2 linked regions of the Neurospora crassa OR74A genome follow. The protein of the gene in region 1 interacts with the protein of each later gene in a pairwise test. Links are inferred from orthologs where the notes say so. Each region holds a gene or a part of one and is shown on either strand. Other genes may lie near its edges.

Region 1 (4,323 bases):
TACCGAGGGGCTAAATCTTGGCTGATGAGCGTGATGGCGATGTGTCGATACGAAATGGTTTCCCGTTTTCAAAAAGTTCAATTATGCGAATACATAGCACGGTCCTATCGCGCCGAGCTTGAACACGCGAGGAGCATGAGCACCTCCCACCTCACTGTGCGCAGGAGGAGGGGTTGTCCCGGCCGTGATTGACGCGGGCAAGCAGAGATTGCGGCTGTGTTGTATGTAGATAGAGGTACTGTACTGACTGTCGAACAGAGACCACAGAACACCGCAGAGGTTGCACGCAGACTCGTTCTCCAAGATGCCAGGCCAGATCAGGATCGGAACCTGGAATGCCCTCGAGTTGACGTCTACATTGGAATCGAATCAAGCTGACGGCGTCAAGCAAGGTCCAGAGCGGGTGTTGGAAGCAACCTCGACGACATGATGCCAAAGTCAAGAGGAAACGAGGGGAAAAGGTTGAAGAGGTGGTGGCGCCCTGGTCCCTGTCAGTCTCCCGTGCAGAGTGTCCCCGCCATCGCCGTTCCGTTGCCGCCGGCGGTTGAACAAAAAAGTGGGCAGGTGAACTGATGGAACTTGAAGCCTCTCACAGGCGCCTTTTCGTGGTGTTGTAGTGGTAGCAGTGGCAGCAGTGGTCGAAAGTGGCTCTCTTCAACTGCAATGGCACTGCACCAGGCAGTCTAGGTAGTCCCACTCTCCCGTCCCCCACCCGTCCCCACCTGCCCTGTCTGGCAGAGGGGACGGGACTGAGATGTAGAACTAGAGGTAGGTAGTGTAGTGTAGTGTAGACTTCAGTTGCTTCCCAGAAGGCCGGACACACTCCCGCTGTCTGTCTAGAAGCCGAAAAGTGCATGTGCTGCCCTCTTGTTGTGCGGTGCAGTGTGCAGATGCAGCAAGCAACAGCCGCCCGACAGCAGTCACGAAGCATTCGAAGGGAATAGGTAGACCTAAGACCGACACAACCTCAATCATAGTATGCTTCCCTGAACTTTGCGTCCGGGCTTCCTTGTCTCCAATTCTCATTTGGCATCTGCAGGCCGAGTGTCCCCGCCCCGCCCGCCGTCCGACCGTCAGCAACACCGGACGACAGCCAGACAACTTCAGACGACAGCAGCAGTAGCAGCCCAGCAGTAGCAGCCCAGCAGTAGCAGGAGCAGCAGCAGCATCGCCGCGCATAGCCGACACCCGTCCGCCATCTTGGGTTCACTCATTTGAGCCCGGCCAACAATAAGTCGATAACGAGTTTGACGAGATTCGTAAAATTCGACAACCCACAAACTGTCAACGGCCACACATCGACACCGACTCGTACAAAGTTGGACCACCATTGGACACACCCTGCCCAAAGCAAGCAATCCCCCGCGCCGCCCAACCAGTCACCCACTTTATCCAAGTCATCCAATCCCTCTCCAGTCTGCGCACTTGTAGCACCAGCACCATACTGCTTGGACTATGCCCGACCTTGCCCTGCTCAATCATCAATTGGGTGCCGTCCACAAGCTAACGTCTGCTCACCACTCTCAAAAGGTAGCCGGACCCTGACCTTCTGATAAGCATACTAAAAAGCTTCGAGATCCATCAAAAATAAATCGTCATTCAAATAGTCTAGAGAAAACAAGCGGAAAAGTGAAAAGCGCCAGCCTAGTCCGAGTTCCCACACAGCAGTAACAACAGAAAGCATCACCCCTTCTTCAACGTACCCAGTCCCCGCCAAACCCAGCATCGCCGGCGGTCCGGGGTCTGTCTTTTTTTCCTACCTTGTACCTTCAACTTGTACACAATCCCACCACAAACCAAAGCGCAATTTTCGACCGGCATCAAGCTTCCAGGATCCCGTCCCCCTTCAATTGTCGACTTTTTTGCTCTTGTCCGTTCTGTGTCTGTGATTCTGGCCTGCCAACTTATCCCGCCCGCCTCAATAACTGCTGCCACCCCCCCAATTCCCGTCTCTTCTCCCAAGTCTCGCCTTCTTTTGGTTGACCCGGCCCCCAGCCAAACCGTCCGCCAGTACCGTACGTTGAACATCTTCCTTGTCTTTTCTTATTCTTAGTTACCCCATCTCGTAGCCCTCGTGCCCTTCCCTACGCTAGGGTTGGGTTTCTCTCGCAGTGACCATGGACGGCCAGCTCTCCCTCCTCTCGCCCACCTCGTCCTCCTCCACTTCGCATAGTCGCAAAAGACTCACAAAGAAGCAACGCCCGCCATCCGCAAATCACCGCACTAGCTCCTCTTTCAATGTCGAATCGCTCCGTATTGACGCCCAATCTCTAGACAGCAAACGGAGCGCCTCCAGCCTGCGCCAGGGCCCCAACTGCAACCAAAGCCCATCTCTGGCCAGGACCGTATCCGTCCCAGTCTCCGTCCCTTCAAACGCGCCCGCCCACACCAAAGCCAGCGACCTCTCTCTGCCACGCTCCCACACCACTCGCTCTCAATCCGCAAATCGCCCTTACAATCCGACGCAGACAATACCAACCAACCGCTTTATCCTCTCGCCGGCCTCATCGTCGCAACCCCAAACTCAATCGCCGCCTTATCCCAGCGCTGTTGCCAGCACCACCGTTACTAGCTCCAGGAACAAGGACACATCCAAGCAGTACGACCCACTAGACTCCTGCATTGGATCCTTCGATCAAAACAAATTATCCACGGATGAACTGATTGGCGCTCCATTCGACGGCAACGCCATTCTCAGTCGAATCGAGGCAACAAAATTATCAGCCGCGCCCGCGCCCACGTCCACGACCACGATTGCGCACTCCAACAACATTTCTCCTCGTCGTGTCGCTCCTCCTCCTCCTCCTCCCCCGCCTGCTCTATCGCGCTCAAACACGGACTCCAAGGCTGCGAGATCTTCAAAACCGTCAAAGTCGCCCAAATCCACCATATCAAACAAGACCATGGGCGCATCTTCATTCCGCCACTCGGCGAGTTTCTCGTCGGCTGAACAACTTCCGCCAAGCGAAAAGCCGTCCAAGTCAGAGAGCAGCTCTTCGAGTAACAAGAGACACTCCGGTGATGGTAAAGAGTCCAGGGTGCCCGGTATGCTAAGGAAGAAGTCGGGCTTCTCCGGCTTCATGAACAGCTTAGTTGGGTCTCCGAAAAAGCCATTGATTTCGGCGCCAGAGAACCCCGTTCACGTCACACACGTCGGATATGATAGCAATACTGGCCAGTTCACGGTATGTTGCCATGCCATGTCAACTAGTCTGAATGTTATGGATGGACTAATACGTTGATAGGGTTTGCCAAAAGAGTGGCAGCGTTTGATAAGCGAGAGTGGAATCACTGAGAAGGACAGAAGAGAACACCCACAAATACTGGTCGATGTCCTCACATTTTACAAGGAGACAACCGAGAAGCCACAGGAAGATCAACAGCTAGAGAAGTTCCACGATGCACGAGCGACAGATTTTCGCAGCCCGCCCGTGACCGGCACCGCTCCGCTCGTACTGCAAACAGGCGTTGGCTACGCTCATGGTCCCATGTCGCCAATGATTAGTCCACCCGCTAGTCCTAGGTTTCCTCAAGTTGGTCATGAGGGCAGCTTTGAGAACCCCCGTGCGCCGCCGCCGGTTCCCAAGGGCCCTGGCCCTCTTCCAGCAAAGGATATCAACTTGATCCCCAGCAGACCGGCACCGAAGCCACCAGCAATATCCACACGACCGCTGGTGCCGCCAGCCTCATTGCCAGCCAAGGATTCAGGAATTGGCATGCCACCGCCCGGTGATGAGGCTCCGATGCCGTACCTCCCTCCCAAGGATAATGTCCAGCATATGTACCAGGAGGAGCACAGGAACAGGTCCAGATCGAATTCCCGGACAAACGGCGCTGCCCCGTTCTCTCCCGTGCAGGCGTCCCCACTGCATCCGATCGCCACGGCGAACCAGACTGCGGCTTATCAGCAGCAATTGTTGCAACACCAGCAAGAACAGGCCATGGCCCAAGCCCAGGCAGCAATGAGCGGTCAACTGAGCCGAGCTGCAAGCAAGAGACAACAACCAACTCCGCCCACCTCACAACACCAACACCCCCGGCAGCCAGACATCAATGGGGCTCCTCGTATGCCACAGACTCAGGGGGCGGCTCCCCAAGCTAGCGCGAGACCCCGTCACAGACCGCGGCAAAGTAACGCGATTGATGTCGTGGCTTCCCTAAAGAGGATATGCTCCGACGGGGATCCGAGAGAGATTTATCGTGGGTTTACCAAAATTGGTCAGGGTGCCTCTGGTGGTGTGTATACTGGCCATGAAAGGGGAAGCAACAGGCTGGTGGCTATCAAGCAGATGAACCTTGAGCAACAGCCAAAGAAGGATCTCA
Region 2 (4,249 bases), on another chromosome or scaffold:
AGGGAAAATCTCAGCGTGGCCGTGGTGGTATTGTATCGAAGTGGGTTTACTAATCAAAGCGATTGAATGATACCGTGCGAGCGTGGGTGCCTGAAATTTGTAAAGTCTGGTTGATTTCAATCGAGTTCATTGCGCGAGCGAACATTTACGACCCCAAGTCCGTCCGGTGGAGCCAGTCCGTGCACATGCATTTGCGTGGGCCGTCTCCGCTCTCCATCGGCGCAAAGTGCAATTCGTCCGCGGGGCCTTGCTGTCCGCCCGCTTACACGTCCCAAGACCAGGGCACTCACTGCAAAGAAGCAGGGTGACCAAGTCCACAGAGAACCCACAGTCTCTTTAGCTTCCACCTCCTGGCTTTTCTTGGTGGAGGTCTCGTCAGTCGGCGGGATATTCTTTGCATCCACTCTGCGAGAAGTCGACATGCGCCCATCAACCACGGGGGAGGAGCTGCACCCGAGGAATGGGGCGCAACGGAGCCTTCAATTTCAGAGATCCATGACTCCGGTGCCTTCGGCCAGGCTTGTTGAAGAGCTTGGCAAGATTTAACTCGTTTTCTTTCTTCCTGTTCCATCGGGGGTGCGGTGCGGTGCAGTCCGGTGCGGCGTGGCTAGTGCGAGGTGTCCATGTCCGCCGTTGAAATGTTGAAGATCAGAATCAGAGGGCAAGAAGTCGAAATAACTGCCCCAGCTTCAAGGTTCACAAATCCCTTTACTCCCTTCTCAAAAGTCCCGTCTTGTTCCATCATCCAAGCCCTTCGGCCCGCCATCCAGCCCGCTGTCCGCCGACCGGGCTCTCCTGTGTTATGGATAAAAAATCGTGAATTGGGCGATCTCTGGGGGTGGCAGGGCCTTCATACCCAAGATGGCAGCTTGTACAAGAAATAACAAGTTTGATCATTCTCAAACAGAAGATTTCTGTAAAACCACTAGCGCCTTGGCTGTACCGCGCTGCTCTTTTACTACTATGTATGTACTATGTAGGTGTAAACTAGGTATATTCATGCAGACGTGTGTAGTGTAGTGTGCTCGCTCCATTGGGGAGGTTTGCTGCACGCATCATCCATCCCGTCCATTGCCTGGGAGACCCGACTGGACACCAACGAACCTGGAAAAACCGAATCCGTTCCTCTGTACCTAGTTGTACACCACAACCTCAATCTGCACTCGCTTCCGCTTCCATTGACACCCGGCTCTTGGGGCTTTTCACTTCCACACTGCTTCACAGGACGACGCTTGACACGGCCTCCATTCCTTCCACCTGCCCCCAAGCGTAGACGTACCCGGACACTAGTACAGGCTAGGTAGTACAGGTAGACCCAGTGCAGGCCTCCCGTCACTCTGTGAGGAGGTTCCGCTCTGCCCCTACAGTAGAGTACAGTAGCCCAGTGCAGTGCACGCAGCGACCCAGCAAAGGCTCCATCGTGCTACCCCCCGACCGGGCCCCTCCCCCCGGGCCCATACCCAATCTGGCACCAGGTAATAATCGCAAGGAAGAGGAACTCTGGCCAGCCTCTTCGTTCGCCAGTTCGATTCGGCCGCCCGCCCACTCGCAGAAGCGAAATCGATCCCCAGTCCTTCTTTTTCCCCTTCTTTCTGTTCTTCACCACCGAACTCCTGTCGATTAGCGACAGCCTCTCCAACTTGCTTTTACGACCTGACAGTCACTCGCGTCGGTCGCGTCGCTCGAGACTCTCTTGTCCATCACTGCCCTGCCACCCTCTCTCGAAAGCTGACGCCACGCACGCCTGCCTTTAGTCTCCATACTCTAGGTTGTCAGGGTCGCTCTTCGCCTGGTCAATATCCGCCATCCACTCATTCGTTCGACAAGAGTCTGTCCGTGGACAAGCAAGAGGCTTTTCCCCCCCAATCCCTCTCCACCACTCTCCTCATTTTTTCCAACAGCAGTCATTTCGTTCAGAGCAGGATCGGGACCTGCCTCGCCTGCCTAGCTGTTTGAATTGGCCCACCACCGCATCGCCCGACCCCTGGAGCTAGCAATTCCTCCTCCACCGGCGCCCCGTACCAGCACCACTGCTTTGCACCATTCTCAACATCCACACTCCAGCAACCGACTCCGACTTGCTGCATCTCTGAAGATCCGACGTCCCTAGAGTCCAACCTTTGTCATCGTCATTCTCCCTGTCTCAACCAGTCACAACAACATCACTTCGGAGTAGTCCGTCCCTCATACGAGTTCGTCGCCAATTGTGATTACGAATTGAACCAACACACCTCAAGAAAAAAAAAAAAAGAGAAAGATGGACTCCCGATCAAGCGATGTGTCGCCAGAGGCGATGCAGGCACGAATTCAACAAGCGCGTCGCGAGGCCGAGAATCTCAAGGACAGAATCAGGCTGAAGAAGGAAGGGCTCGCCGATACTTCCCGTGAGTCCCCTTGTCGGCAGGTCGCGAACTGCGCCGTTGTCCGCCCATGCATGCCGTCGTCAACGGCGGATTGACCGCTGCATAGTGTTGCTGACATGATGTGTAGTCTACGAGGTCGCGCAACAGGCCCATGAGCCACTTCCGAAGAACAACATGATGAAAACAAAGAAGACGCTGAAGGGCCATCTGGCCAAGATTTATGCGATGCACTGGTCTACCGACCGGAGGCATCTTGTCTCAGCATCTCAGGACGGCAAGCTCATCATCTGGGACGCTTATACGACCAACAAAGTTCACGCCATTCCCCTACGATCGTCTTGGGTTATGACTTGCGCCTATGCCCCGAGCGGCAACTTCGTTGCCTGCGGTGGTCTTGACAACATTTGCTCTATTTACAACCTGAACTCGAACCGTGATGGCCCAACTCGTGTCTACCGGGAGCTTTCAGGTCATGCGGGCTATCTCTCTTGCTGCCGTTTCATCAACGACCGCAGCATCCTCACCTCCTCCGGCGATATGACATGCATGAAGTGGGATATCGAGACAGGAACAAAGGTTGTTGAGTTCGCCGACCATTTGGGCGACGTCATGAGCATCAGCTTGAACCCCACAAACCAGAATACCTTTGTGTCAGGTGCTTGCGATTCTTTCGCTAAGCTTTGGGATATCCGCGCTGGCAAGGCCGTACAAACATTCGCTGGCCACGAGTCCGATATCAACGCCATCCAGTTTTTCCCCGATGGCCACTCTTTCGTAACGGGTTCCGATGACGCTACTTGCAGACTTTTCGATATCCGCGCAGACAGAGAGTTGAACTGCTATCGCGTGAGTAACCTGTGGATTATTCTCCTCTCGGTTCTTGATTTTTTTTTCTCTTGGTGGCTTTAGAGCTAACATTTGGGTAGTCCGAATCTATTCTTTGCGGCATTACCTCTGTCGCGACATCAGTCTCTGGACGTTTGCTCTTTGCCGGTTACGATGACTTTGAATGCAAGGTCTGGGATCTTACTCGCGCTGAAAAGGTTGGCTCTCTCGTCGGTCATGAAAACCGTGTCAGCTGTCTGGGCGTTTCCAACGATGGAATAAGTTTGTGCACAGGCTCTTGGGACTCCTTGGTAAGTTTCTACCCGCAACATCAGATCGATATGGTACAGGCCGCAGATTAGACTAACTCCCTCACAGCTCAAGGTCTGGGCATATTAGGCGCATGTGTGATACTGATACGACCGGCACCCTCTGGATACCCGACCACGACGCGTCACTTTGCCAAGCCTATCGAGTGCTTTTTTCTATTTGTTCTATTCAACCTGGTAACGCCTCTTGATCCTTGCGATTTGGCGTAGACAGGACGAAGTCACGACATATTTTTCGACCCAACAATCTCGGCTCCCCGGGCTTGGACCATCATCAACTGGCCTTGCTCCCCGGTTGGAATCCTTTTTAGCTTCTATAGCGGTTTTTCCGATACTCCACTCGATTTGCTGCGTCATATTTTCAGCGGGTTCAGTTCGCAAGGTGGGCGGCAGCGATATCCTGGCTTTGTTCAGCTCTCCGTACGCCAACCCGCCTCTCCCCTCCAGAAAACGTCCCCCCGGATAATATGATCCGACACGTTCATCAACTTCGGGTCGCGTAATTCCCCGGGCATTATTACAGGGACGTCTGTACCAGGTTTTTTGGACCCGGTTTGGCTGGAGCAGAACGTCCAATAATCATCAAGGTCTGGCTCGACGGGTCGTATCATATTCCACATGAGTGGTTGCCAGTGTCTCTCACAGGGGTTGTGTCTTGAACCAGTTTACCGGATACCCTCTCTATACGTATTTATCCACATCTTTGCGCGCATTTTCTCAGCGTTTGGTCTT

The links.
Region 2: the proteins of stk-4 (region 1) and gnb-1 interact in binary tests that used the Saccharomyces cerevisiae proteins (3 or more experiments, as listed by UniProt). The link is inferred for Neurospora crassa OR74A from reciprocal best matches to the Saccharomyces cerevisiae genes STE20 and STE4.

What each region holds. Positions count from the first base shown.
Region 1 is NC_026506.1:2,078,614-2,082,936, reverse strand, and holds the start of stk-4 (serine/threonine-protein kinase ste-20, variant 1), read left to right. Parts: upstream 1-1,326; 5' UTR 1,327-1,350; intron 1,351-1,457; exon of another isoform or gene 1,458-1,534; 5' UTR 1,535-2,117; coding exon 2,118-3,185; intron 3,186-3,245; coding exon 3,246-4,323. Other genes in the region: NCU03895 (hypothetical protein), read right to left, coding at 82-353, 723-762, 1,113-1,199. UniProt on the Saccharomyces cerevisiae protein: MAP4K component of the MAPK pathway required for the mating pheromone response, haploid invasive growth and diploid pseudohyphal development. Links the pheromone response G-protein beta gamma subunits to downstream signaling components.
Region 2 is NC_026503.1:3,863,027-3,867,275, forward strand, and holds the start of gnb-1 (guanine nucleotide-binding protein beta subunit), read left to right. Parts: upstream 1-1,414; 5' UTR 1,415-2,257; coding exon 2,258-2,384; intron 2,385-2,490; coding exon 2,491-3,209; intron 3,210-3,289; coding exon 3,290-3,499; intron 3,500-3,566; coding exon 3,567-3,587; 3' UTR 3,588-4,249. UniProt on the Saccharomyces cerevisiae protein: Implicated in the a- and alpha-factor response pathway. The beta and gamma chains of the putative yeast mating response pathway G protein play a positive role in initiation of the mating response.